4 linked regions of the Anolis sagrei genome follow. The protein of the gene in region 2 interacts with the protein of the main gene of each other region in a pairwise test. Links are inferred from orthologs where the notes say so. Each region holds a gene or a part of one and is shown on either strand. Other genes may lie near its edges. The genes, in order: VIM, KAT7, NINL and DVL3.

Region 1 (7,534 bases), about 74 Mb from region 2:
TGGTATGAGTGCTGGGCTAGGGGTGCATCTACATCTTAAATGAATGCAGTTTGACACTACTTTAACTGCCATGGCTCAAAGCTATGTAATCTTGAGGTTTGGAATTAGGTGAGGCACTTGGTAACTTTGGCAGAGAAGGCTAAAGACCTCATAAAACTACAACTCCAATTATTCCATAGTATTGAACCGTGCTATCTAAAGTGGTGTCAAACTGCATTAATTCTACAGTGTAGAAACATCCTATGACTTCCTTTTCAGCTATGAAAATTAAGTGGGTGATCTTAGGCAAGTCATACTCCCTCAGCTTTTTGAGGAAGGCAAGGACAAACCTCCTCGGAATAAATTTCAGAAAGAAAACCCCAGAATAGGGTGATGAGTCCCTAGCACACATACCAACAAGAAACTTCCTATGGAACTCAGTGGATTGACTCCCTGACCAATGACCACATCTATTAGCAGAACTGATTTTGAAAGATGTAAGTCAGCAAGTGTATTTGCAGATGAAATTTGTGCTGTGCAACCGCTTTGCATCATGAACAGGATACTTCCTCTTTTTTTCTCCATTTCTTATGAGAAATAAAAAAAAAGATCAAGAAAAAACAGGATAGCTGCAGAAAGCCTTTGGGCCTAAATCTGTCCACCTGAGAACACGCTGGATGCATCTACTACACTATAAAATGAATACAGTTTGATGCAACATTAACTGTCACAGCTCAATGCTATGGAATCATTGCAGTTGTAGTTTTAGAGCCTTTCCACACAGCCACATAACCCTGAATATCAAGGCAGAATAACACACAATATGTACTTTGAGCTGGGTTATCTGAGTCCACACAGCCACATATTCCAGTTCAAAGAAGATAATGTGGAATTTTATTCAATGTGTGGAAGGGGCCTTAGAAACTCTTAAGCAGATAACCTGCGATTTTATTCAGCTGTGTGGAAGGGGCCTTAGAAGCCCTTCAGCCCTTTCTGTCAAAAGAGTGCAGGTACCTCAACAAACTACAGATCCCAGGATTCCATAGCACTGAGCCATGACAGGTAAAGATCTGTCAAGATGAATTAGTTTTACAATGTAGATCTGCCACAGCTTCCTTCCCCTTTCTGAGGAAGTTATTGCCTTATTATTATTATTATTAAAAAGCAGCACAATATACAAGTGTCTCCAGCAGAGTCAGGCGGAGGCAAGAGGCAAGTCAGCCAAGCAAACAGGACTCCTCTCTGGCATCAGATAAACTCCCATGTGGACATGGCTGATAAGCAAGCATGCCTTTCTTGTGCATCTCAAAGAACATGAACTTGGCCCTGAGGAGCTGGAAATAGCGGGTACACCTACACTGCAAAATAAATGCAGTTTGACACCACTTGAATGGCTATGTCTCAGTGTTACACAATCTTGGAAGCTGTAGTTAGGTTTAAGGTTAGGGTTTGGTTTAGGGTTAGGATTAGAGTTAAGGGTTAGGGTAAGGGTTAGGATTAGAGTTAAGGGTTAAGGTAAAGTTTAGGGTTTGGGTTAGGATCAGGGTTAAGAAGGTTAAGCTTAGAGTTAGGTTTAGGTTTAAGGGTTAGGGTTAGGTTTAGGGTTAGGATTAGAGTTAAGGGTAAGGGTTAGGATTAGAGTTAAGGGTTAAGGTAAGGTTTAGGGTTTGGGTTAGGATCAGGGTTAAGGGTTAGAGTTAGAGTTAGGTTTAGGGTTTTACCATGAAAGAACGATGAACTATGAATATCTGTGTTCCGTTCTGTGTTGCGCAAATAGCGCTCCCGAAGGAGCGAAGCGGAAACAGCGTAACGCTCTGAGCTTCCGGACCCAGCTTTCATACTATTACCGGGATTTTATTCAGTTGTGTGGAAGGGGCCTTAGTCGTTGATTTGGGAGGATGCTTGTGGGGCTGTTTTCTTTACTATTGTCCAAGTGCTTGGTCGTTTTTGTAAGTGCGCTTGCTGTTGGTGTGCGGATATTAATGAAGAATCTCTTCTCAAACACCCAGCCCAACTTTGTTGCAAGGGCGAAGAGGAGGAGGAAGAGGAGGGGGAGAAAGTGCCTCCTTCTAACCCAAGGGGAGGGGGGGAGGGGAGGTGATTGACGGCGGGGAAAAGCCCTGCGAGGGGAAAGGCGGAGGAGGGGACGGTGGCTGCAGCGGTCGGACAAGGGCCAGACTCCTGATTGATGGAGGAGGAGGAGGAGCAAAGTAGAAGCAGAGGAGAGAAGGAAAGAAATCGGGGGAGCCAAGGGTGGAGCTCATTGTTACCAACGTTGCCGGACATGGCGAGGAAAGCCGCCCCGAAAACGAAAAGTGAACCAAGACACTGAAAAGTTTGCGAGGCGCGCCATGGCGGCAGATAGAGCGGAGTCTTGAGGGGGAGCCCTGGAAATGTTGGGCGCCTCTACACCATGCATGGGCCAACTTGGGCCCTCCCTCCAGGTGTTTTGGACTTCAACTCCCACCATTCGTAATAGTCTCAGGCCCCTTCCTTTCCCCCCTCAGCCGCTTCTTCTAATAAATATCGAAGCCCAATTCACTTCCTCTCCGAAGTCCTTCCCAACTTGCAGAAAAGCTTTCCCATAAACCAAAGAAGCCAGTTTAAAGGGTCTCTCCTCTCCAGGCGAAACTGGGTCAGCCTTGGCTAGAAAGAGAGTTAAAGATTCTTTCGTCTCTGAGGCCCTTTCTACACGGCTCAATATAATCCCACATTATCTGCTTTGAAGTATACGGCAGTATGGACTCGGATAACCCAGTTCAAAGCTGATACTGTGGGATATAGGGCTGTGTGGAAGGACCCTGAGGGAAAGGGAGTGGTGTTACTAATGGTGGTTCTTCTCTTTGGGCTGCAGTGCTAAACTGACTCAAACTTCGTCAGAAAGCAGAGTGCTGTCACTGAGCTGGGACTGAGGCCCCTTCCACACAGCTGAATAAAATCCCACATTTTCTGCTTTGAACTGGAATATATAGCAATGTGGACTCCAATTACCCAGTTCAAACATGATATTGTAGGACTTTCTAATTTGATATTCTGGGTTATATGGCTCTATGAAAGGGCCATAAATGGAGTCACTAATGGGTTTTGTTTTTTACACCTAAGTAGATGCTTGTTCTAGACTGGTTCTTTACTCTATCCCAGGATCTAAACCCAGATGATCTTTTTGTCCCAGATAATTTGGCAGTGGAGACTCATTTAATCCAGTTCTAAGCAGATTATCTGTGGCCCCTTCCACATTAAAACCTCATGTTATTTGCTTTGAATTGGAATATATGGCTGTGTAGACTCAGATAACCATCCACACACCTATTTAACCCAGAATATCAAGCCAGAAAATCCTACAATATCTGCTTTGAACTGGGTTATCCGAGTCCACACTGTCATATATCCCAGTTCAAAGCAGAAAATGTGGGGTTTAATTTAGCTGTGTGGAAGGGGCCCCAGTTCAAGCAGATATTGTGGGGATTTTCTGCCTTGATATTCTGGGTTACGAGTCCACACTGCCATATATTCCAGGGCCCTTCCACACAGCCCTATATCCCAGAATATCAAGGCCAAAAATCCCACATTATCTGCGTGTGGATTCAGATAACCCAGAGCCCTTCCACACAGCCATATAACCCTGGCAGAAAATCCCACAATATACCCCAGTTCAAAGCAAATAATGAGGGATTTTACTCAGCTGTGTGGAAGGGGCCCCAGTTCAAAGCAAATATTGTTCGATTTTCTGCCTTGAAAATCCAACAATTTTCACCACAAATGAAGAGAGATATTGACAAGCTGGAATGTGTCCAGAGGAGAGCGACTAAAATGATCAAGGGTCTGGAGAACAAGCCCTATGAGGAGCGGCTTAAAGAGCTGGGCATGTTTAGCTTGAAGAAGAGAAGGCTGAGAGTAGACATGATAGCCATGTATAAATATGTGAGAGGAAGTCATAGGGAGCAAGTTTGTTTTCCGCTGCTCTGGAGACTAGGCTTCAAACTACAAGAAGGGAGATTCCACCTGAACATTAGGAAGAACTTCCTGACTGTGAGAGCTGTTCAGCAGTGGAACTCTCTGCCCCGGAGTGTGGTGGAGGCTCCTTCTTTAGAGGCTTTTAAACAGAGGCTGGATGGCCATCTGTCAGGGGTGCTTTGAATGCAGTTTTCCTGCTTCTTGGCAGGGGCTTGGACTGGATGGCCCATGAGATCCCTTCCAACTCTATGATTCTATGATATACTGGGTTATGTGGCTGTGTGGAAAGGTCCTGAGATGGATGAGATCCTTGGATACAGGGCAGCCTAAAACACTAGTCTTGGGCCTCTGGGCTGGGTTGGGACTGCGAGGGAAGGAAGGAAGGGAGAGGAGGAGGAGGAGGGGCCTCTCATCATCCCTCCCCCCCTCTTTCCCCCCTCCCTTCAGGGGTCCCAAAGGCCCCGTGAGTCATCCTTGGCCGGCTTTGGGGCCTCCTGATTGGCTCTCCGGGCGCTTGTTGGACGGGAGGGGCGTGCCCGGGGTATAAAAGGCGCTCCTCCTCGGCCCGCAGCGCCTTTCTTGCCTTGCGCACCTGCAGCAGAAGCCTTCCACGCCGTCTCCTCCTCCTCCTCCTCCACTCCACACACTTTTGGGATTACAACAACCATGAGCACCACGAGCAGCCAGCGCACCTCGTCTTACCGCCGCATGTTCGGAGGCTCCGGCCGGTCCAGCATGGGGGGTGGTGGAGGCGGCGGCGGCACCCGCTACGTCTCCTCTTCCTCGACGCGCTACTCCCTGGGCAGCGCCATCCGGCCCAGCAGCGTGCGCCTGGTCTCCTCGGCGCCCGGCGGCGGGATCTACGCCTCCAAGTCGGTGCGCTTGCGGTCCAGCATGCCCGCGATGCGCCACTTGGGCGACGCCGGCGTGGACTTCTCCCTGGCCGACGCCATCAACACGGAGTTCAAGGCCAACCGCACCAACGAGAAGGCCGAGCTGCAGGAGCTCAACGACCGCTTCGCCAACTACATCGACAAGGTGCGCTTCCTGGAGCAGCAGAACAAGATCCTGCTGGCGGAGCTGGAGCAGCTCAAGGGCAAAGGCACCTCCCGCCTGGGAGACCTCTACGAGGAGGAGATGCGCGAGCTCCGCCGCCAGGTCGACCAGCTCACCAACGACAAGGCGCGCGTGGAAGTGGAGCGGGACAACCTCAGCGACGACATCCTGCGCCTCCGGGAGAAGTAAGCGCGCGACGGGCAGGGCGGGCAGGGCAGGGCAGGGCGCATGCGCGGGGGAGAGGCCAGCAGAGGGCTGGTGGGTTTGTGGGACAGGTGTCAAGTCTAAGGGCCCTTCCACACACACAGCCCTATATCCCAGAATATCATGGTAGTATGGACTCATAACTCAGTTCAAGGCAGATATTGTGGGATTTTCTGCCTTGATACTCTGTGTGGAAGGACCCTAAATTGGAGGGAGAGGTGAATCTGCTCTTTCGGACTAATGTCACAACTTAGTTTTACTTGTATACCACTTTTCCATTGATACACAATGTACAATTACGAATATAATACTACTACTAATAATAATAGGTAAAGGTTGTCACCAGACATTAAGTCCAGTCATGTCGGACTCTGGGGGTTGGTGCTCATCTCCATTTCTAAGCCGAAGAGCTGCCGTTGTCCATAGACACCTCCAAGGTCATGTGGCCGGCATGACTGCATGGAGCATTGTTACCTTCCTGCCAGACAGGCCCCTAGGATTTTGATTCGGGGGGGGGGGGCTGAGTTTGATTCAGGGGGGGGGCTGCGTCTGAGTGAAAGAGGGTCTACCCTAGCAAACCTTTTGTATCGTTACCCCAATACCCCCATGCATATGGGATATATTGAGTATGGTGATCAGATCATGATATGAATAAACATAACAGTTTAAATAATGCACCAGTAAGGCCTTTTCGCAGACCATCATGAAAATTTGGGGGGGGGGGGGCTGAAGCCCCCAAGCCCCCCCCCCCCCGGCTACATGCCTGATGCCAGAGCAGTGTCTATTAATCTACTCACATCTGTTAGGTTGGCAGAAGCTGGGGCTGACAGTGGAAGCTCATGCCACTCCCTGGATTTGAACCTGCAGCCTTTCGGTCAACAAGCTCAGCATCTTAGCGGTTTAACACACTGCACCACCAGGGGCTCCCAGTAATAATAATAATATGATACTATAATTATATATTTATAATATATGTAATATTACTAATAATATTACAATATAATGTTACAGTACAATATAGTAATATTTAATACTGATATTGTACTATGCGAATAATATATATTGTATATATATATGTCTTGTAAGCTGCTCTGATTCCCCTTGGGGTGAGAAGGGCGGCATATAAATGTTGTAAACAAACAACAAGCAACAATTACAGACCTGGAAAATAAACATTAAAAATGGAACTTAACAAAGAATAGGCCTGGGCAAAGTTTGGTCCTCCAGGTATTTTGGACTCCAACTCCTACCATTCCTAACAGTCTCAGGCCCCTTCCTTTTCCCCCTCAGCCACTTAAGCGGCTGAGGGAGAAAAGGAAAGGGCCTGAGGCTGCTAGGAATGGTGGGAGTTGGAGTCCAAAATACCTGGAGGGAGGGCCCAAGTTTGTCCATGCAAACTAGAGACCTTTGTAAGATTTACAACTCCCAGCATTGAGCCATAGCAGTCCAAACTATTTCAGCACAACTAGAGAATGAATCCACTTTAAATCTGGTTTCTGCCTCCTGCAGAATTCTGGGGTTTGTAGTTTAGTAAGGCTGTTAAATGTTCCTCCCTAAACTACAAACCCCAGAACTCTGTAGGAAGCAGAAACTGGATTTAAAGTGGATTCGTTCTCTAGTGTGATGAGCACTCTTTAGCCATCTTGAATCCCTATATTTGAAGGAAGGTGGGATAAGAATAAAGTAAATGAATAAGTAAGCTTGTTGGATAGGGTGAAAGGGCTGAGGTAAGGATAATTTCAAAGCATAGGCACCACCTCACTGGGGCCCCTTCTACATAGCTGAATAAACCCCACATTATTTGCTTTGAACTGTGATATATGGCAGTGTGGACTCACGTAACCCAGTCCAAAGCAGATATTGTGGGTTATCTGAGTCCACACTCAGATAATGTGGGATTTTCTGCCTTGATATTCTGGGTTATATGGATGTGTGGAAGGGCCCTGGGAGTCCTGCAGAAGACAGGCAGAACTTCTCTCCTTCCTCCAACACTCAGATCCTAAGCATTGATAAACCTGAACCTAGCAGGTTTTAACTAGGGCCCCTTCCACACAGCTGAATAAAATCCCACATTATTTGCTTTGAACTGGAATATATGACTGTGGACTCAGGCAACCTAGTTCAAAGCAGATATTGTGGGATTTTCTGCCTTGATATTCTCTTGATATGGCTGTGTGGAAGGGCTCTAGAAGACACTGATGGGTATCTCAACACTGTAAAATGAATGCAGTCTGACACCGGGTTGTTGTAAGTTTTTTGGGCTGTATGGTCATGTTCCAGACCAGAAGCATTCTCTCCTGACATTTTGCCTGCATCTATGACAGGCATCCCCAGAGGTATG
Region 2 (7,530 bases):
TTGTAGTTGCTGGGATTTATAGTTCACCTACAATCACAGAGCATTCTGAACCCCACAACAATAGAATTGAACCAAACTTGGCACACAATTCTCCCATGACCAAAAGAAAATACTGGAAGGATTTGGTGGCAGTGTCCTTTGGTTTTGGAGTTGTAGTTCACCTACATCCAAAGATCACCGTGGACTCAAACAATGATGGATCTGGACCAAGCTGTACAAGAATACTCAATATGCCAAAATGTGAACACTGGTGGAGTTTGGGGGAAATAGAATCTTGACATTTGGGAGTTGTAGTTGCTGGGATTTATAGTTCACCTACAGTGAAAGAGCATTCTGAACCCCACCGATAGAATTGGGCCTAATCTCCCACACAGAACCCCCATGTGGGCCACAGCAACATAAATAATAATAATAATAATAATAATAATAGAGAAATGTATATAGCTACAACCCAGTTTGCCCAAACCAAAAATGGATGCTCCTATTATGAGGAACAGAGGCTGGTTCCCAAAACAAAGATGGCGGATTCAGCACCGCTCTGAATTCAAACTCCCGATGCAACTGTGGTCAGTTTAGACTTTTGGGTAAGAACCAAGCTCTGCCCGGCTCAAAGATGGCCGCCCCTGTTCTTTCGACCCGAGGCCCTGCCCGGCTCAAAAATGGCCGCCGCTCCACGCGCGGAAGACGTCATTCCCCATTCCAAGATGGCGGGCGGCCGTCGGCGTGAGGTGAGGTTTGTCTGCGTCACGTGACGGGCAGGACGGGGGTGTGTATCTCCCCGCCGAGTGTCCCGGCGGAAGAGTGGAGGGAGTCGGCTGAAAGGTCGCCGCTGGGGGGAATCAGGCACCAGAGGGCGGCGCGGCCTGGCGCTGGGGGACCGGAGGCACGCCAGTCACGACGGACACCGCCGGAGCCAACGCGGCGGCCGGGGCGCAGCCACCCTCGCTGCCTCCGCCGCCGCCTCCGCCCAGGATGTCTCGCCGAAAGGTAAGCGGCGCCAGAAGGAGCCAAGCCCCTCCGCTCGCCTTCTCCTTCGCCCGCTTAGACCGCCAGGCTCGAAAACCAGTTAAAAACGTAGGCCTTCAAGCCCCTGCTTCAGCTCGCGGCGTGATTGGCTCCCTCTGCCTCCCGCCGCCACTTGAATGGCCGCCCTCGCCATCAGTTAGGGCAAGCCCCGCCTTCGACGGTTATTTGTTTCCCTCCTCCCTTTGGGTGGTTGTTGTGTCCCGCCTCCTTCCCGCCCTGATAGGCTCCGTTGCCGTCCTCTCATTGGTTGGCCTCCCTATCACTTCCTACTGGCGCGGTTTTCTTCTCCCCGCCTCCTTCCTCGCTTCAGACTTGGCTGTATGTGTTGAGGAAAGGCGCTGATTGGCTGCTCTGAATTAGCCTTCCCTTGCTCCTCATTGGATGGCAGGCAGCCGAACGCCCACCTCCTTGATGTTGTGATTGGCGGAGGAAGAAAATGCCTGAGATGGTTCAAAACAGAGCAAGCAAGATGGCCCAGGCAGGGTTGCAGAACAGGAATCAGTTTTGATTAAATATGGTTATACTCTTACATTTTTTTCTCATCATGGAACCATTTTAACTGCAGGATAAACCTGCAAAGGTATCATTTCCTTTTGATCAATCTAGTTAAGGCCTCTTCTACACAAACTCCACATTGAACTGGATTATATGGCAGTGTGGACTTGGGCCCTTCCAGACAGGCCCAGGATCCCAGCATCTGATCCCAGGTTTTATGTTTATCCCAGATTATCAGGCAGTGCGGACTCATATAGTCCAGTTTAAAGCAGAAAACCTGGGTTCAGATCCTGGGATACAGGGCCTGTCTGGAAGGGCGCTTCCACACAGCCATATAACCAAGACTATCAAGGCAGAAAATCTCACAATATCTGTTGTGAACTGTGTTCTGCCATATATTTCAGTTCAAAGCCAATATTGTGCGATTTTCTGCCTTGATATTCTAGGTTATATGGTTGTGTGGAAGGACCCTTAGATAACCCAGTCCAATGCCAATATTGTGGATTATCTGCCATGATATTCTGGGTTTTAATTATTTATTTATTTCTATCCCGCCTTTCTCCCAATTGGTACTCAAAGTGGCAAACAAACATGTAATGAAAAACATTGCAGAGCATAAAATTATGCATAATCATCACACCACAAACATATCTAATAAGAGGTTGTTGTAGGTTTTTCAGGCTATATGGCCATGTTCTAGAAGCATTCTTTCCTGACGTTTCGCCTGCATCTGTGGCAGGCATCCTCAGAGGATCCCTGCTATAGATGCAGGCAAAACGTCAGGAGAGAATGCTTCTAGAACATCGTCCTGTAGCCCGAAAAATCTACAACAACCCAGTGATTCCAGCCATGAAAGCCTTTGACAATACATATCTAATAAATTATAAAACTGGTGATGACATAATAAATAGATAACACAATTTAAACATTCAATAAAGTTAAAAGATTACACGGCTGTGGGAAAGAGCCCTTAGAGATTTCCATTTCAAGTGGTTAGATTCATTTTAGTTTCATACATAGTTTCATACAGCAAAAGATCCTCTGATACATTGAAACTGATATAATTTTGTTAACTTGTTATTGTGTCATTTCCACTCCAAGGTGACTCCAGTACAGGGGCTTTTTGGCGAAATTTGTCCAGGTGTGATTAGCCATTGCCTTCCCTTGAGACTGAGAGAAATTTAAGATGGATTTTAATATAAAACCACACAAGGCATATTTCCCAGACATCAGCTGAGACATTGAGTGCACGAAAGACTCATTTGTCAATTGGAATAAACATCACATGTTGTCTGTGCCAGCGTATGAAGATCTTATTGAAATTCATTGTCGCTATAGGTGATCCCTCGTGGCCAGGTATGGTCTTGGTGGTGGGCCTGTTAGTGACTAGAGACCTATTCTAGATCCACATGGGCTTTCGAGGAGACATATTTCCAAATGGAAAGCAGTCCCGACAAGGTTTTGCATGACACACCTTCCCTTTGACTCCTTTTTTCCTTTCGTCCTCTATTCATGCTTCTTTGAAAGCTACAGCACTGTTGGTAAGCTGACATCCAGTGAGAGCACTCAAGTGCCATGGAGTGTTTATTCCACGTATTTTAAAGATTAGCTTTAAGCCCATCTTTAAATCTCTTTTGCTGTCAATCAACATTCCCTTTTCCATTGTTGAGCTGAGAGTAAAGTAACTGCTTTGGGAGATGGTGATCAGACATTTGGACAACACAGCTGCTTCAGCGAAGTTGATGGTGTAGGATCATCTCTTCCGTACTGATGGTCTTTGTTTCCAGAATGCTGACATTTGTCCACCTGTCCAAAGACATTTTTGAAGGCAACGCTGATGGAATTGTGCTAGAAGTTGAGAGTAACATTTGTAGACATTCCATGTATCACATGTGTACAACAGAGTTGGAAGTATAAAGGCTTTATAAACAAGCATCTTGGTATCCTTATGAATGCCCTTATCCTCAACAGGGCTTCATTTGAAAAAATGCTGCACTCACAAAGCTCGAATGGTGTATTTTGGCATCAATGTCAACTTTTGTGGAGAGATGGCTAAATTCAGTGTACCTCAGCTTTTTGAATCTGTACCACTGAATGACTTTTGGGTAGGACTAGTAGCCAGAAAGACCATCCAAGCTCTGCTCCCCTTTGTGTCCACCTGTCGATGTGAATTAGGTTTTCCAGTGTATATTTACATCAAAAACAAATACAGAAGTAAGTTGGATTCCACCCCAGATCTTCAAATTTATCTGTTGGACATAAAGACCAGTTTCAGAACTATTCTTAGTACAAAAATTAAACACTCTAATTCATGAAATAATCCAATATTTTCTTGGTTGAAATAAAGGTTTGTGGTTATATTTAAAGTATTTCCAAAGTAAAGTATTTAAAGTATTTTGGTATTATCCAAAAAACTTTGTGGGTTCACAAGCTAAAAATCAAGGATAGAATTAGGGTACCATGGAGGGTGGGGATAGGAATGCCTTCTGAATGGTTCCATGGCAGAAGATGTTTGGAAACTTCTGCTGTAATCCAAAACTGCCAGATATTCTTTTGGAGATTATAATTTCAGACTCCTAGTTCATATACATAGCTCCTACTGGAATAAATAGAATAATTTTCTTAACTAGCTTGATTGAGCGGTAGTATTTGTTTTTCAATTATAAAGTGATGAATCAAGAGTCACAGCACATTTGTACTCTGCTGCTATGTATTGAGTATACAGACATCGTTGGAAAATATTCTAAACATTTGTATCTTTCAGTTCTTCAAGTGCATCTTTTAAGTATGTACGAGGGTTGAATGAAATGTAATGCCTCTACCTTCGTAACTCCTCAACAGATGGCAGGTACTGGCTTGTTCAGTAGACTCTCCTCTACAGTTCCGTTTTGGTGGGAAGCCTTAGCATTGAACGGTTGTGTTGTTAATGTGCGAAGTATGGAACCCTGCGAAGATGGTTGATCAATGCAACTTAAGCAACATGCAGTTATTGAATTCTTGACAACAGAAGGTGTCACCCCAAAGGAGATTCATCAGAGAATGCAAGCTGTCTATGGTGATTGTGTTGATGTGAGTACTGTGCGTCATTGGGCGAGTAAGTTTAAAGATGTTGAGGTGGGAACATCTGGCTTGCGTGATAAACAAAGAGTTGGACATCCTGTGACAGCAACCACCGAGTTTCACAAGCAAAAGGTTGACAGATTGATTCAGGACGATTGTCATATCACTCAGAGAGAAATTTCAAGCATCATCAGCATTTCACGAGAACATGTGTGTCACATTATTGCTTTGCTTGGCTATCAGAAGATCTGTGCACGATGGGTACCCAGGTTGAGAGAACTGTGAGACGCTGGTTGCGGAAACAGAGAGTTGACGTCTTCTGTGATGGCTTCAGAAAACTTGTTTATCGTTGGCAGAAGTGTATCCAATTGTCTGGTGATTATGTGGAAAAGTGAATAGTGGTAGTTAAAGAGCACATTCTAAGGATTATTTCTGCGTTCGATTTATTAAAATATTCCCTTCCAAACCCAAGTAACAAAGCTGGAGGCATTACTTTTCATTCAATCCTCATATTTATCTTACTAATGATTTGCTTTTACATGTGCTGAGGCTTGTCAAATCTATATCTGCTTAGTGTTAACATTGCTGCAAGAGTAAATTCTCCCAGACTACTCCTCTTTAACTCTTTGGAGTCCCCTTAGCGTTCTCTTCCTTCCCTGGCACCTGTTACCCAATTTGTGTCACGACACAAAACACAATTGTAAACGTTATCTAATTGAATAATTTAAGATGCTTATGATCACAGTTCTTCTTCAGGTGCATCAACACTGTAGAATTGATGCAGATTGGTACCACTTTTAACTGTCATGGCTCAATTCTATGGAATTGTGGGAGTTGTCGTTTTTATAAGGAAAATCAAGACCTGTTTATGGGACCAAGCATTTGATCAGTGAGCAGCAAGTGGAAGAAGATCACACAACTTATGGCAATGAATTGACCTGGACTGGTTTTTAAATTTCGATTTTAATGGATGTGTCTTAATTAATTGTTTTGATTGTTGTTTTGATTTTTAATATTTTGATTGTATTGTGGTTGTTTTTATGATGCTAGCATCATATGATGCTTTTGTTAGGCCACCCTGAGTCCTCTTTCGGGGAGAAAAGGGCGGGGTATAAACATAGGAAAAAAATAAATATAATAAATAAATAGTCTAGTCTTGTCTGCCAAAGAGTATTAGTGCTCCAGCAAACTACAAATTCTATGATTCTGTAGCATTGGGCCATGGCAGTTAAAGTGGTGTCAAACACATTAATTCTACAGTGTTTCCTATATTGATTATTAAATCAACAGTGACAACTGTCCCCAAAGAAGTTGTTTCAGGTTTCTGAACCTGAACCGCTGTGAGTCGCCTTCGGGTTTGAGATACAGCAGTATATAAGCAAAGTAAATAAATAATAAATAAAATAAACTAGACTGCATGACATATAGGTTAAGCTGTTTGCTGTGTGTCTGTGAAGACCATTTTAAATGCTAGCTGTATTTGAACTTGAGTGGCGAAGGGACCACTGTGATGATCACATGGCTGTCATTGTGTTAATCCTACCTCAAATCCCACATTTGCTCTTAACGTATTATTGCTCCCAGGATTCCCACTGGAACCACTTCCTCTGTGTTTGAAAATAAGGCTGGGTTGTTTTTGCACGTACACTCTGAGACCTGACCAACAATAAAGAAAAACGTTACAGCTTTTGCACAGAGGCATATCAAACAACACAAAATATTAGAATGCCATAAAGCTCAATAAGAGTTTTACCCACATATCGCTTTACCCACATAGAGGACATTAAATCAGCAACAACGACAAGTGACACTATGTTCAGACGCGTCTTTGTATGTACCTTTTCATAATCAAAATCTGTAATAATCTGTAATAATGTATCAGTGAAATAGAATGGGAAGATTGGGGGTGATTCATTCACTAAGAATAGATGATCTTATGGCACTTAATTATCCCACATGTATTCAAATAGTCACATCTTGCAGTTGTTGTTTAATTGAGAGTTTAGCATTGGTAAAACCAAGACTTCTTATACATGACTAAGAAAACCCTAGAATAGCCACTAAACAATACAAAACTTTTCTGTGAGGTAAGTGGCACCTCACTGGTGCAATCAGCATATATACATATGCATATATGAGAGAGAGAGAGGACGACACTTTTTACCTCCAGGGCACAAACATATGTGACTGCAGTTTCCCTTTATTTTAATATACCATTAATCTGTTAACTGTACAGCACTGTCTACCCTCACACACTCTTTTGTTGTCTTTTTGGAACTTGATTCTTTTTTCTCTCTGACTTCTGAATCCTGACCCTGTTGTTCTCTTTTCCTTGCACATCATTCTAACAACACCTCCTACTCACACTCTGTTAGCTTTTCATCATCCATATACAAATGACACTCCACATTCTTGATTTAGTCTTCAGGCATATACTTTGAATCATACTTATCATCTAATATCACAATATGTGTGCAGTGGATTATTGAAAATTGCATTATAATCTATGTAACGTTAGCAAGGTCTCAACCCTGTTTGTGTGGGTGGCTATGAAACAGGCTAATGCTTAGAAATGTTGTCTTCCTAAGAAACAGTGTTGCGCATAGTTCCTTGCATAGAGAGCTGATGATCATTTGGTGCAACATGATGAAACAACTTTCTGGATTGTTTGGATTTACCAGTAAGTTCTCAGAACTCCAGTCACCATGATCAGTGTAGGAATTGTGAGGACTAAAACTGAAAACAGCAAGAGTTTGTCAGTGGTTTCTGATTGACTATATGAAAAAATAAGTTTAAGACCATTGCCTTGAGATCTGACTTCCAATTCACATCAGACTGATGGTGGAGGATTATGGGAGTCTTTAAATACCTGCAAACCTTAGTTACTTCCCTGTGCATTGAGGCATGGAGATATCTTCCTTATAAGCGTTGACTTGGGGAATATGTGAG
Region 3 (6,954 bases), on a different chromosome or scaffold from region 2:
TGAAATGAGGCAAAATGGTGTCCTGAGATGGTTTTTAAGCAACTTTTAATCTGAATATAAGTGACTTTAATGTTTGTATATATTTATGGTTTTATATCCCAGCATTGAATATTTGCCGTATATATGTTGTGCTCTGCTCTGAGTCCCCTGCGACGTGAGAAGGGCGGAATATAAATGTTTAAATAATTAAATAATCTGTACTTACTGTGCAATTACGTCTCTTCCTTTAATGATCTGTTTGATTGCTCTCTGCTGGATAGCTGAAGGTTTCTCAAAGCCTAGAAAAGCCATTTAAAATTCATTTAGCATCCCTTTCCACTTACAGATCAAACCCCAAAACATGAACATTTATGACATTTATATGCCGCCCTACTGTAATATAGCAATACTAATATATTAAATATAATAGTTACTACTGATAATATATAATAATATATAACGGTAGACTGTGTTATTGTTGTTATGTTTGTATAGATGGTTATAATGCGAGACAGAATGAGAATCTTGTCCCTCCCGGCTCACCGTAGGCGTAGATGCCTCGGAGGAGGTCCTCGCGCAGGCCCATGGTGTCGAAGGTGGGGGTGACGTCCACCTCTTCGCTGGTCTCGAACTCCACCTTCGTCATGTCTTCCTCCTTCAGCAGCCGCTTCCGAGCAGAGCCCGCCGTACCTCCCGTCGTCCCCGACATCCTTCCCGGCCGAGTCGTGCCTCCCGCCGCTTCCCTGCACGCGTTTCTCCCTCAGAGGCTCCGAAGGCCGCGCGTGAGAACGTGAGGAGATCCGCAACACCGCCGGCTAGGCCGCAACTGAACCGCGCATGCGCCCTCAGCTCTACTCCATGACGTAGATGGTGACGCACGACGTAAAACATACGTCCACCCAATGTTCGCTCCTTTCCAGAGAGTCCCAACAGACGCTAAAGAGACGAGAAGTTTACGCATGCGCTCCAACGCTCAGCCTCAAACAATCACTTACGCATGCGCTCTAACCCTTCCTCACCCTGTCTCAATGACGTCAGCAAACGTTCACTCCTCCCAATAGAGTCAGTAACGGGACTAGGCTTCACGCATGCGCGTTAATGCTTCTATCTGATTTAGCAACGCTCGCGCTTTGTAAAAAATAAAAGAGACACTTGCGCATGCGCATTAACGCTTTCTCAGTGACGCTCGCCCTAAAAGACGCTTAGCGACGTTCGCTTCCGCCCATAGAGATATAACTTATAGAGTCACAACAAGGAGGGATTCTTTTGTCTGGGACTTCATCTCCCAGAATTCCTGAGTGTTGGCCACGATGTGGGAGACTTCTGGGAGTTGAAGTCCGAAGTTTGCCCTTCCTCACCCTGTCTCCATGACGTCAGCAAACGTTCACTCCTCCCAATAGAGTCAGTAACGGGACTAGACTTCACGCATGCGCGTTAATGCTTCCATCTCTGATTTTGCAACGTTCGCGCTTTGTAAAGGTTATAGATACAGGAGACAGTTGCGCGTGCGCAGTAAAGCTTTCTCAGTGACTCTCGCCCTAAACATACGCTTACCGACGTTCGCTTCTGCCCATAGAGATATGTTTTTGATAAGAGTCACAACAAGCAGGGATTCTTTTGTCTGAGACTTCATCTCCCAGAATTCCTGGGTGTTGGCCACGATGTGAGAGCCTTCTGGGAGTTGAAGTCCGAAGTTTGCCTTTGCCTATCTCTGGGGCTGAGAGAGTGTGACTTGGATTTCTGTGGCTAAGCTAGGATTCGAACTCACATCTCCAGAGTCAGGGTGAGAACAAGCCCTATGAGGAGCGGCTTAAGGAGCTGGGCATGTTTAGCCTGAAGAAGAGAAGGCTGAGAGGAGATATGATAGCCATGTATAAATATGTGAGAGGAAGCCACAGGGAGGAGGGAACAAGCTTGTTTTCTGCTTCCTTGGAGAATAGGACGCGGAACAATGGCTTCAAACTACAAGAGAGGAGATTCCATCTGAACACGAGGAAGAATTTCCTGACTGTGAGAGCCGTTCAGCAGTGGAACTCTCTGCCCCAGAGTGTGGTGGAGGCTCCTTCTTTGGAAGCTTTTAAACAGAGGATGGATGGCCATCTGTCAGGGGTGATTTGAATGCAACATTCCTGCTTCTTGGCAGGGGGTTGGACTGGATGGCCCATGAGGTCTCTTCCAACTCTTGATTCTATGATTCTAGGGTCGAATCCTCAGATTATGAGAGCATGATCAGTGCTGTCCATCTACAACAGGCATGGGAGTTGTTTTGAACTTCAACTCCCACAGTTCCTAACAACCTCAGGCCCTTTCCTTTCCTTATGCCCAGTGTGGAACACATCCCATCACGTTAAAACAGTGGATGTGGCTCTTAAGGACACATGCCGCATTATCACAGGATGTCTACGCCCTACACCACTGGAGAAATTATACTGTTTAGAAGGGACAGAGAGTTTCATCTATGCTGACGATCATGCCATCACCACCCAAGCAGGGAGCTGTGAAATCGTTGAACAGAAGCTCTCCAAAGCTTTAGGTGGCCTTACTACCTATTACAGGGAAAACCAGCTGATTCCTAATCCATCTAAAATGCAGACATGTGCTTTTCACCTTAAGAACAGACAAGCATTTCGAGCTCTGAGGATTACCAGGGAAGGAATCCCACTGGAGCACTGCAGCACACCCAAATACCGGGATTGTGGCGCAGCTGGCTGAGTGTCAGCTGCATTAAAGATCACTCTGACCAAAAGGTCATGAGTTCGAAGCTAGCCCAGGTTGGAGTGGGTTTTCCAACCAATTGTGTGTAGCCTGTTGTCGACCTTTGCAACCCGAAAGACAGTTGTATCTGTCAAGTGGGAAAATTAGGTACCACATTAAAGTGTGGGGAGGCTAAATTAACTAATTTATGAGGCCATAAAGAAGACTCCAGCAAAGCATTCCAGCGGGGAAGCATGCGAGGAATGCGGAAGTACTTCATCAGTGTCGCAGATGGACAATGAAAGCGACAGCTCCCCTGGTGGCCAGAAAAAGTTAAATAGCCTCTGTGTATGTCTGTATATGTTTGTATGTCAAAAATTGGCAATGAATGTTTGCCATGTATGTGTACACTGTAATTCGCCCTGAGTCCCCTGCGGGGTGAGAAGGGCGGAATATAAAAGCTGTAAATAAATAAATAAATAATACCTGGGAGTCACTCTGGACCATTCTCTGACCTACAAGAAGCACTGCCTAGTTCCTGCTCATTCTATTGGTTCCCTTCTCTGCAATTGGTTATCTTACATGACATGGTCAGTGCAGTCAGGGAGGAGGGAGCAAGCTTGTTTTCTGCTTCCTTGGAGACTAGGACGCAGAACAATGGCTTCAAACTACAAGAAAGGAGATTCCATCTGAACATGAGGAAGAACTTCCTGACTGTGAGAGCCGTTCAGCAGTGGAACTCTCTGCCCCAGAGTGTGGTGGAGGCTCCTCCTTTGGAAGCTTTTAAACAGAGGCTGGATGGCCATCTGTCAGGGGTGCTTTGAATGCAGTATTCCTGCTTCTTGGCAGGGGGTTGGACTGGATGGCCCATGAGGTCTCTTCCAACTCTAGGATTCTATGATTCTATTTCTGAGCCTTTGTTGTTGTTGTTGTTGTTGTGGTTGTTGCTTTCCCCCTATTTTCCCAGCCTTGAAGTAAGATGCAAAGCACCTGATGGTGGGTATATTTACACTATAGAAAGAATACAGTTTGATACCATTTCAACTGCCCTGGCTCAATGCTATGGGATTGTGGGAATTGTAGTTTCACAAGGTCTCCAGCCTCCTCTGGCCAAGAGTGCTGGTGCCTTGCCAAACTACAGCTCCCATGATCCCATAGCCTTGAGCCAATGCAGGTCAAGAGGTGCCAAGCTGCATGCATTAATCCCACAGTGCAGCTGCAGCCAGGGACTCAAGAGGAAGAAGCAACAGCAGCCAATGCCAGGAGGAGGAGGAGGAAGGGAGGCAGGCAGGAGGAGGAGGGTGGTCTGAGGACGGGGGGCGGCCTGCTTAGCCCGGTCCAGCCCCGGGGAGGGGCCTCCACCCCTGGAGGGAGAAGCCCCGGCAAAGCACGCCGCTTTGGGCTTCGGAGGGACACAAAGGAGGCGGAGGAGAGCCTCTGGAGCAAGGCTTGGCTTCCCTTTCCCTGGAGATGCTGCTCCTGCTGCTGCAGTTTCTGCTCTGAGAGTCAAAGCAACAAGTGGGAGGAGGGCAGAGGTGAGTGCTGTGCTGGCTTTTGGGGTTCAGGGTTGCTCCTATGCAGGATATCTTGAAGATATCTCACTTCCACCTTGAGTATTGCGCTTGCTTTAGGGGTTCAGGGTTGCTCCTATTCAGGTAACCTATAGGACAGCCCACCTATAGGATATAATATAGAATGTCCCATTTTTACAAGAATATTGTGCTTGCTTTAGGGGTTCAGGGTTACTCCTATGCAGAATATCTTGAAGGTATCTCACTTCCACCTTGAGTATTGTACTTGCTTTGGGGGTTCAGGGTTGCTCCCATCCAGGTACCCTATAGGACAGCCCACCTATAGGATATAATATAGAATGTCCCATTTTTACAAGAATATTGTGCTTGCTTTAGGGGTTCAAGGTTACTCCTATGCAGGATATCTTGAAGATATCTCACTTTTATGTTGAGTATTGTATTGCTTTAGGGGTTCAGGGTTGCTCCTATTCAGGGGCCCTATAGGACACCTACCTATAGGATTTAGTATATAATATCCACCTTTAAAGGAATACTGTTCTTGTTTTAGGGGTCCAGGGTTACTCCTATGCAGGTGCCCTAAAGGACAGCCCACCTATATGATATAATATAGAATATCCTACTTTTACAAGAATACTGTGCTTGCTTTAGGGGTTCAGGCTTGCATCTATGCAGGGTCCTATAGGACAAACCACCTATAGGATATAGTATAAAATATCCCACCTTTACAAGAGTACTGTACTTGCTTTAGGAGTTCAGGTTGCTCCTATGCAGGATATTTTTAAGATGTCTCACTTCCACATTGAGTATTGTACTTACTTTAGGGGTTCAGGGTTGCTCCTATGCAGGGACTCTATAGGGCAGACCACCTATAGTATAGAATATCCCACCTTTACAAGAACATTGTGCTTGCTTTAGGGGTTCAGGGTTGCTCCTATGTAGGGGACCCTATAGGACAGACCACCTATAGTATAGAATATCCCACCTTTACAATAATACTGTGCTTACTTTAGGGGTCCAGGGTTGCTCCTATGCAGGGACCCTATAGAACGGCCCACATATAGGCTATTTTATAGAATATCCCACCATTACATAGGCTATTTTATAGAATATCCCACCATTACAAGAATACTGTGTTTGCTTTGGGGGTTCAGGGTTGCCCCACTGCAGAGACCTTATAGGACAGGCCACCTATAGGATATTTTATAGAATATCCCATCTTTACAAGAATACAGTGCTTGTTTTAGGGATCCAGAGTTGCTCCTATCCAGGGGCCCTATAGGACAGACCACCGATAGTATACAGTATAGAATATCCTACCTTTACAAGAATTCTGTTCTTGCTTTATGGGTCCAGGGTTGCTCCTATGCAAGGGCCATATAGGACAGACTACCTATAGGATATAGTATAGAATATTCCAGCTTTACAAGAATACTGTACTTGCTTTAGGGGTTCAGGGCTGCTCCTATGCAGGGGCCCTTTAAGATATAATAATAATAAGAAGAAGAAAAAGAAGTAAATGATGACGACTATGGAAAATGAAGAAGCAAAAATACTCAGGGATTTCGGAATCCAAACAGATAAACACCTGCCACATAACACATGAGATATGACAGTTGTGGAAAAAAACATATTTTTATCAGTACCAGGAGACAACAGAGTCGAGGACAAAGAGCTGGAAAAGATAATGAAATACAAGGAGTTACAACTTGAAATTGGATGACTATGTCAAAAGAAAACAGTGGTACCAATCTTAGTTGGTTTTCTTGAGGGCATTCCAAGAACCCCCCCCCCCCCAAAAAAAAAAAAAAAAAGCACTGGAAAGCACTTAATTTGGACAGAACTTCAATCCACATGCTGCAGAAGGCAACACTTCTCAGAACTGCGCACCTCTAATATTCTAGGCCTTTGGGAAAAGCCCGATATTCAGGGATGAATCTCAGACACTTGGACCTCATGTACATGTGTGCTGTGTTGTTATGTACATAGCAATAATAATAACAATAATATAATTTTATTTCTTACCCACCTCTCCACATGGCTCGAGGCAGGTCACAGCACAGTAAAAAAGCACACAAATACTACAAAATTTCTACAAACACACATATGAAAATGCAGTAATATCTCATCTTCATATTGAGTATTGCACTTGCTTTAGTGGTTCAGGATTGCTCCTATGCAGGGAACCTTTAACAGCCCGTCTTTATACAAGTACTCTACTTTCTTTAGTTATTCATAGTAGCTCCTAGGTAGGGGCCCATTAAAGTATCTCACCTTTATGTGAGTATTATACTTGCTTTAGTGGGTCATGTTTGCTCCTATGCGAGTGCACTCTACTTTTCTTACTCATTCAGAATTGCACGTGTAAAGGGGCCTTATTTAGGACACCCCACCTTGATGGGAGTGTTATCCTTGCTTTATGGGTTCAGGATTCCTCCTGTGCAAGGACCCAACTTTATAGGAGTACAAAACTCTGCTCCTATACTGGGTTTTTTTGGGATATTTCCACCTTTGTGGGACTACTGTACTTTTCTTTAACGGTTCAGGGTTGCATCTATTCTGGGACCTTATGGGATACCCCACCTTTATGTGGACACTGTATTTGCTTTAGTGTTCAGAATTGCTCCTATGCAGGCCCCCACCCATAGATAGCTTACCTTTGTATTATTGTATTATCAGTGTTTAATATTTTATGCTTTATGTCTAAATGTTATTTTATGTTTTAATTTGGTTAGGTTAATTTATAGTTATA
Region 4 (7,720 bases), on a different chromosome or scaffold from region 2:
TATGACATCATTATTCATATATGAATGTTAAACTGAGATGATCCTGTTCCTGTTTAATTGCTCTGTTTCCATGATATCTCCTGTGCCATTTATGTTCCTATCCACTTTATTGAACTACTAGCGGTCCCCTGCCACGCGTTGCTGTGGCCCAGTCTGGTGATCTGGAAAATAAAGTAATGAGAAAGTGTGGGTTTCTAATATATGTAATGTCTTAATGCTTGTGGGTAAACAGTATTTCTTGCTGTTTCTTGGTCAGTGTTGATGTGGAGAGTGTCTGGTTTGCCTACTCTGGAACATGCAACATATCTTTGTCCTTCTTTAGGGGTCCCTTTCAAATCTATGATACTGCATCTGTCATATACATATGTGTGTTTGTGTGTGAATGGCTGGATGGTCCTTTGTCAGGAGAGCTTTGATTATGTTTTCTTGCCCTGGTGAAGGGAGTTGGACTGGATGGCCTTAAGGCAGCATTTCTCAACCTGGGAAGTCAAGACTCGGGGGGGGGGGGTCACCAGAGAGGTGTCAGAAGGGTCGCCAAAGACCACCAGAAAACACAGTATTTTCTGTTGGTCATGAGGGTTCTGTGTGGGAAGTTTGCCCCAATTCTATCATTGGTGGGGTTCAGAATGCTCGATTGTAGGGGAACTATAAATCCCAGTAACTACAACTCCCAAATGTCAAGGTCTATGTTCCCCAAACTCCATCTGTGTTCATATTTGGGCGTATTGAGTATTCGTGCCAAGTGTGGTCCAGATCCATCATTGTTTGAGTCCACAGTGCTCTCTGGATGTAGGTGAACTACAACTCGCAAACTCAAGGTCTATGCCCACCAAACCTTTCCAGTATTTTCTGTTGGTCATGGGAGTTCTGTGTGCCAAGTTTGGTTTAATTCCATCATTGATAGAGTTCAGAATGCTCTTTGATTGTAGGTGAACTATAAATCCCAGTAACTACAACTCCCAAACGTCAAGGTCTATTTTCCCCAAACAACACCAGTGTTGACATTTGGGCATAGTGAGTATTTGTGCCAAATTTGGTCCAGGCCCATCATTGTTTGAGTCCAAAGTGCTCTCTGGATGTAGGTGAACTACAACTCCCAAACTCAAGGTCAATGCCCACCAAACCTTTCCAGTATTTTCTGTTGGTCATGGGAGTTCTGTGTGCCAAGTTTGGTTCGTTTCTATCATTGGTGGAATTCAGAATGCTCTTTGATAGCAGGTGAATTATAAATCCCAGCAACTACAACTCCCAAGTGAAAAATCATAATGTTTTGAGTGATGGTCACTCCTTGTGTAGTGAGATGTTTTGTTGCCAAATTTGGTGTGATTTCGTTCATTGGTTCTTTTGTTTTTAAGCTACTCATTATGCACAGAGCATTTATATATATATAGATTTACTTTTTAATCAATTTGTATGTTGGCCTCCTTCCCCCTCCAAAATTTGGGTTGCTGTTGCTTGATGCTTGTTTATTACTGTTATGCTGTTTTGTGTCATTTTAATTTGTAACTTGTTGTTGCTTTGCTTTTAATTGTATGTTGCCTGGGCTTGGCCCCATGTGAGCCGCCTGAGTCCCCTTGGGGAGATGGAGGCGGGGTAGAAAAATAAAGTTCTTCTTCATCATCTGTTGGAACTAGGAAAATTGGGTTTATATCTCTGTGGAATGACCAGGGTGGGACAAAGGACTCTTGTCTGTTGGAGCTAGGTGTGAACGTTTCAACTGACCACCTTGATTAGCATTTGATGGCCTGGCAGTTGTTCGGCGTGGCTTGTTACTGCTTGGTGTATACCATGGAGCTGTGGACAAGTTACATAGGGACCACCAAACGCAGCAGCATTGCCCAGACACGACTCAAGGAACATGAAAGGCACTGCAGACTACTTCAACCAGAGAAGTCAGCCATAGCAGAGCACCTGATGAACCAACCTGGACACAGCATAATATTTGAGAACACAGAAATGCTGGACCACTCTCACAACCACCATGTCAGACTACACAGAGAAGCTATTGAAATCCACAAGCATGTGGACAATTTCAACAGAAAGGAGGAGACCATGAAAATGAACAAAATCTGGCTACCAGTATTAAAAAAAAGCCTCTAAAATTACAACAGCAAAACAACAGAGAGGAAACAATCAGGGACAGCTAATCACCTCTCAACAAAAGATTGCTCCAGGCACTAACAAGCCACACCAAACAACTGCCAGGCCATCAAATGCTAATCAAGGTGGCCAGTTGAAACATTCACACCTAGCTCCAACAGACAAGAGTTCTTTGTCCCACAGATATACAAACCCATTTTCCTAGTTCCAACAGACCTTACTGCCTCTGAGGATGCTTGCCATAGATGCAGGCGAAACGTCAGGAGAGAATGCCTCTAGAACATGGCTCTATAGCCTGAAAAAAATCTACAACAACCTATTGTTGTTGTATTGTCCTGGGCCCGGTCCTGTTCAACATCTTTATTAATGACTTGGATGAAGGGCTAGAAGGCATGATCATCAAGTTTGCAGACAACACCAAATTGGGAGGGATAGCCAATAGTCCAGAGGACAGAAGCAGGATTCAAAACGATCTTGACAGATTAGAGAGATGGGCCAAAACTAACGTAATGAAGTTCAACAGGGACAAATGCAAGAGACTCCACTTAGGCAGGAAAAACGAAATGCAAAGATACAGAATGGGGGACGAGGCCTGGCTCGAGAGCAGTACGTGTGAAAAAGATCTTGGAGTCCTCGTGGACAACAAGTTAAACATGAGCCAACAATGTGATGTGGCGGCAAAAAAAGCCAATGGGATTTTGGCCTGCATCAAGAGGAGCATAGTGTCTAGATCTAGGGAAGTCATGCTCCCCATGCTCTATTCCGCTTTGGTTAGACCACACCTGGAATATTGTGTCCAATTCTGGGCACCACAATTGAAGGGAGATATTGACAAGCTGGAATGTGTCCTGAGGAGGGCAACTAAAATGATCAAGGGTCTGGAGAACAAGCCCTATGAGGAGCGGCTTAAGGAGCTGGGCATCTTTAGCCTGAAGAAGAGAAGGCTGAGAGGAGACATGATAGCCATGTATAAATATGTGAGAGGAAGCCACAGGGAGGAGGGAGCAAGCTTGTTTTCTGCTTCCTTGGAGACTAGGACGCGGAACAATGGCTTCAAACTACAAGAGAGGAGATTCCATCTGAACATGAGGAAGAACTTCCTGACTGGGAGAGCCGTTCAGCAGTGGAACTCTCTGTTCTGGAATGTGGTGGGGGCTTCTTCTTTGGAGGCTTTCAAGCAGAGGCTGGGTGGCCATCTGTCAGGGGTGATTTGAATGTAATATTCCTGCTTCTTGGCAAAATGGGGTTGGACTGGATGGCCCATGAGGTCTCTTCCAACTCTAGGATTCTACACTGAACATGAGGAAGAACTTCCTGACTGTGAGAGCTGTTCAACAGTGGAACTCTCTGTTCTGGAGTGTGGTGGGGGCTTCTTCTTTGGAAGCTTTTAAACAGAGGCTGGATGGCCATCTGTCAGGGGTGATTTGAATGCAATATTCCTGCTTCCTGGCAGAATGGGGTTGGACTGGATGGCCCATGAGGTCTCTTCCAACTCTAGGATTCTACAGGAAAGGAGATTCCACCTAAATATGAGGAAGAACTTCCTGACTGGGAGAGGTGTTCAGCAGTGGAACTCTCTGCCCTGGAGTGTGGCGGAGGCTCCTTCTTTGGAGCCTTTCAAGCAGAGGTTGTCATAAGGGAGAGGGAGAAGCCTGGGCCCAAAGGATACGAAAGGATCTTCCCCCTGAACATGAGGAAGAACTTCCTGCCTGGGAGAGCTGTTCAGCAGTGGAACTCTCTGCCCTGGAGTGTGGTGGAGGCTCCTTCTTTGGAGGCTTTGAAATAGAGGCTGGATGGCCATCTGTCGAGGTTGTCATAAGGATGAGGGAGAAGGATACGAAATGATCTTCCCCCTGAACATTAGGTAGAAGTTCCTGACTGGGAGAGCTGTTCAGCAGTGGAACTCTCTGCCATGGAGTGTGGTGGAGCCTCCTTTGGAGGCTTTGAAGCAGAGCCTGGATGAGGGAGAAGCCTGGGCTCAAAGGATACGAAAGGATCTTCCACCTGAACATGAGGAAGAACTTCCTGACTGGGAGAGCTGTTCAGCAGTGGAACTCTCTGCACTGGAGTGTGGTGGAGCCTCCTTTGGAGGCTTTGAAGCAGAGCCTGGATGAGGGAGAAGCCTGGGCTCAAAGGGTACGAAAGGATCTTCCACTTGAACATGAGGAAGAACTTGACTGGGAGAGCTGTTCAGCAGTGGAACTCTCTGCCATGGAGTGTGGTGGAGCCTCCTTTGGAGGCTTTGAAGCAGAGCCTGGATGAGGGAGAAGCCTGGGCTCAAAGGATACGATGGGATCTTCCACCTGAACATGAGGAAGAACTTCCTGACTGGGAGAGCTGTTCAGCAGTGGAACTCTCTGCCATGGAGTGTGGTAGAGCCTCCTTTGGAGGCTTTGAAGCCGAGCCTGGATGAGGGAGAAGCCTGGGCTCAAAGGATACGAAAGGATCTTCCACTTGAACATGAGGAAGAACTTGACTGGGAGAGCTGTTCAGCAGTGGAACTCTCTGCCTCGGAGTGTTGTGGAAAGCGCCTTCCTTGGAGCAACACCCACTCTGAGGAGGCCGGAAGCGGAAGGGGCGGAGCCGCGCGAGGTGGGGGCGGGGCTTGTGTTGCTTGTGCTGCTGCTTGTGCTGCTGCTGCTTTTTGGGCCTGCAGGCGCTGCCGGAGCCCCGGGCTGGCGTGAGCGAGCCCCCCGAGGGAGAGAGCAGCCATGGCGGCGCCTCCAGCCGCAGCAGCAGTAGGAGCCTCCTCCTCCTCGTCAGCGATGGCGGAGACGAAGATCATCTACCACCTGGACGAGCAGGAGACGCCGTACCTGGTGAAGGTGGCCATCCCGGCCGAGCGGGTCACGCTGGGAGACTTCAAGGCCCTCCTCAACCGGCCCAGCTACAAGTTCTACTTCAAGTCCATGGACGACGACTTCGGGTGAGGCGCCCAGGCAGGCCCGCTTCCTCCTCCTGTCCATTGGCTTTTGTGTTGTGTCTGTCTGTCTCCCGCAAGGAGATAATCTGGGTTATATGGCAGTGTAGACGGAGATGTCCTCCCTCAAGAGGACAATGGACCTACGCCAAAGAAATAGTAGAATGTAATACTATATATTATATATATATGTAATATAATATAAAAAGAATATAATGTAATATGATAAATTGTATACACATATAATAGAATGTAATATAATATATTTTATGTACATAATGTAATATAAAAAGAATATAATAATATTATTGATGTAATAAATTGTATATACATATAATATGATATAAAAAGAATATAATATAATATATTGTATACACATAATATAATATAATGTGATATAAATGGTATATACATATAATATAATGTAATATAATATATTGTATATACATATATATAATATAAAAAGAATATAATGTAATATAATATATTGTATACACATAATAGAATATAATATATGTTGTATATACGTATAATATAATATAAAAATAATATAATGTGATATAATAAATTGTATATACATATAATATAAAGTAATATAATGTAATATCATATATTGAATATACATATAATATAATATAAAAAGAATATAATGTAATATAATATATTGTATACACATAATAGAATATAATATATGTTGTATATACATATAATATAATATAAAAATAATATAATGTGATATAATAAATTGTATATACATATAATATAAAGTAATATAATGTAATATATATTGAATATACATATAATATAATATAAAAATAATGTAATGTAATGTAATATATTGTATACACATAATATAATATAATATATATTGTATATACATGTAATATAATATAAAAATAATATCATGTGATTTAATAAATTGTATATACATATAATATAATATAAAATAATATAATGTAATATAATACATTGTATATACATATAATATAACATAAAATAATATAATGTAGTATAATATATTGTATATACATATAATATAATATATTGTATGTACATAATATAATATAAAAAGAATATAATGTAACAAAAAATATAATAATAAAATAAATATAATAAATTGTATATACATATAATATAATATAAAGTAATATAATGTAATATAATAAATGGTATATACATATAATATAATATAAAGTAATATAATGTATTATAATATATTGTATCTACATATAATATAATATAAAATAATATAATGTAATGTATTATATTGTATATACATATAATATAATATGTAATATTATTTTTATTGTATACACATATACAATAAAATATACATATACATGTATTGTATACACATATAATGTAATATAATAAATTGTATATACATATAATATAATATATTGTATGTACATATAATATAATATAAAAATAATATAATGTAATATAATATATTGTTTACACATATCATATAATGTAATATCATATATTGTATATGCATATAAACCAATGTAATATAATATATTGTATATACATATAATATAATATATTGTAGATACATATAATTAACATAATTCAAAAACCACTGGACGAATTGACACGAAATTTGGATACAATACATCTAACAGTCCAACGAGTGTCCATCACCCCTAAAAATACACACACACACACTCACACACAAAATCCCAGCAGAACAGACTTAAAACCCCCCAAAATACTCAATATATACATATACACATACACTCATATACATACACATATGCACACATTCATATACACACACGTATATATATGCACAAACACACACAAATATACACATATACACACATACATATACATACGCATACACACAATTATGCTTATAGACAAGCACACACATATACACAATGTGCATGTACACATATAAACACACAAATACACAAATATATACAGACACATATACACACACACATATATATATGAATATACATATATATATATGAACACATAAATATACACATAAACACATATAAATATATACAGACATATACACACACACACACACACACATATATATATATATGAATATACTTATATATATGAACACACAAATACACACACACACACATAAACACATATATACACACACAAAACACATATACACAGACTGGGCCACAGCAACGTGTAGCAGGGGATGGCTAGTTCTACTACTAATAATGATATTATAATTATATATTTCATATGACATGTAATATTACAATATAATGGTATAGTACAGTATATAATACTGATATTCAACTATGCTAATAATATATTGTATGTATATATATCTTGTAAGCCACTCTGTGTCCCCTTCGGGGTGAGAAGGGCGACATATAAATGTCATAAATAAATAAAGGCCTAAACCAGGCATGGGCAAACTTGGGCCCTCCAGGTATTTTGGACTTCAACTCCCACAATTCCTAGCAGTCTCAGACCCCTGAGGGGGGGGGGGAATGAAAGGGCCTGTGCCTGCTAGGAAATGTGGGAGTTGAAGTCCAAAACATCTGGAGGGCCCAAGTTTGCCCATGCCTGGCATAAACATTGCCCATGCCTGACCTCCATTGACTGCAGGAGGAAATAAATAATAATAAGAAACTTTATTTATATCCCACCATCATCTCCCCGAAGGGACTTCGGGGCGGCTAACATGAGGCCAAGCCCAAACAAATTACAATAAAGCAA

The links.
Region 1: the proteins of KAT7 (region 2) and VIM interact in binary tests that used the Homo sapiens proteins (3 or more experiments, as listed by UniProt). The link is inferred for Anolis sagrei from reciprocal best matches to the Homo sapiens genes KAT7 and VIM.
Region 3: the proteins of KAT7 (region 2) and NINL interact in a two-hybrid assay, tested with the Homo sapiens proteins (2 studies listed by BioGRID and IntAct). The two-hybrid records come from large-scale screens. The link is inferred for Anolis sagrei from reciprocal best matches to the Homo sapiens genes KAT7 and NINL.
Region 4: the proteins of KAT7 (region 2) and DVL3 interact in a two-hybrid assay, tested with the Homo sapiens proteins (2 studies listed by BioGRID and IntAct). The two-hybrid records come from large-scale screens. The link is inferred for Anolis sagrei from reciprocal best matches to the Homo sapiens genes KAT7 and DVL3.

The regions. Positions count from the first base shown.
Region 1 is NC_090026.1:105,844,156-105,851,689, forward strand, and holds the start of VIM (vimentin), read left to right. Parts: upstream 1-4,513; 5' UTR 4,514-4,599; coding exon 4,600-5,174; intron 5,175-7,534. UniProt on the Homo sapiens protein: Vimentins are class-III intermediate filaments found in various non-epithelial cells, especially mesenchymal cells. Vimentin is attached to the nucleus, endoplasmic reticulum, and mitochondria, either laterally or terminally.
Region 2 is NC_090026.1:31,669,681-31,677,210, reverse strand, and holds the start of KAT7 (histone acetyltransferase KAT7), read left to right. Parts: upstream 1-4,511; 5' UTR 4,512-4,560; coding exon 4,561-4,590; intron 4,591-7,530. UniProt on the Homo sapiens protein: Catalytic subunit of histone acetyltransferase HBO1 complexes, which specifically mediate acetylation of histone H3 at 'Lys-14' (H3K14ac), thereby regulating various processes, such as gene transcription, protein ubiquitination, immune regulation, stem cell pluripotent and self-renewal maintenance and embryonic development.
Region 3 is NC_090021.1:21,905,934-21,912,887, reverse strand, and holds the start of NINL (ninein-like protein), read left to right. Parts: upstream 1-3,951; 5' UTR 3,952-4,208; intron 4,209-6,954. Other genes in the region: EIF4A3 (eukaryotic initiation factor 4A-III), read right to left, coding at 206-278, 523-688. UniProt on the Homo sapiens protein: Involved in the microtubule organization in interphase cells. Overexpression induces the fragmentation of the Golgi, and causes lysosomes to disperse toward the cell periphery; it also interferes with mitotic spindle assembly.
Region 4 is NC_090023.1:264,637,246-264,644,965, reverse strand, and holds the start of DVL3 (segment polarity protein dishevelled homolog DVL-3), read left to right. Parts: upstream 1-4,700; 5' UTR 4,701-4,811; coding exon 4,812-5,026; intron 5,027-7,720. UniProt on the Homo sapiens protein: Involved in the signal transduction pathway mediated by multiple Wnt genes.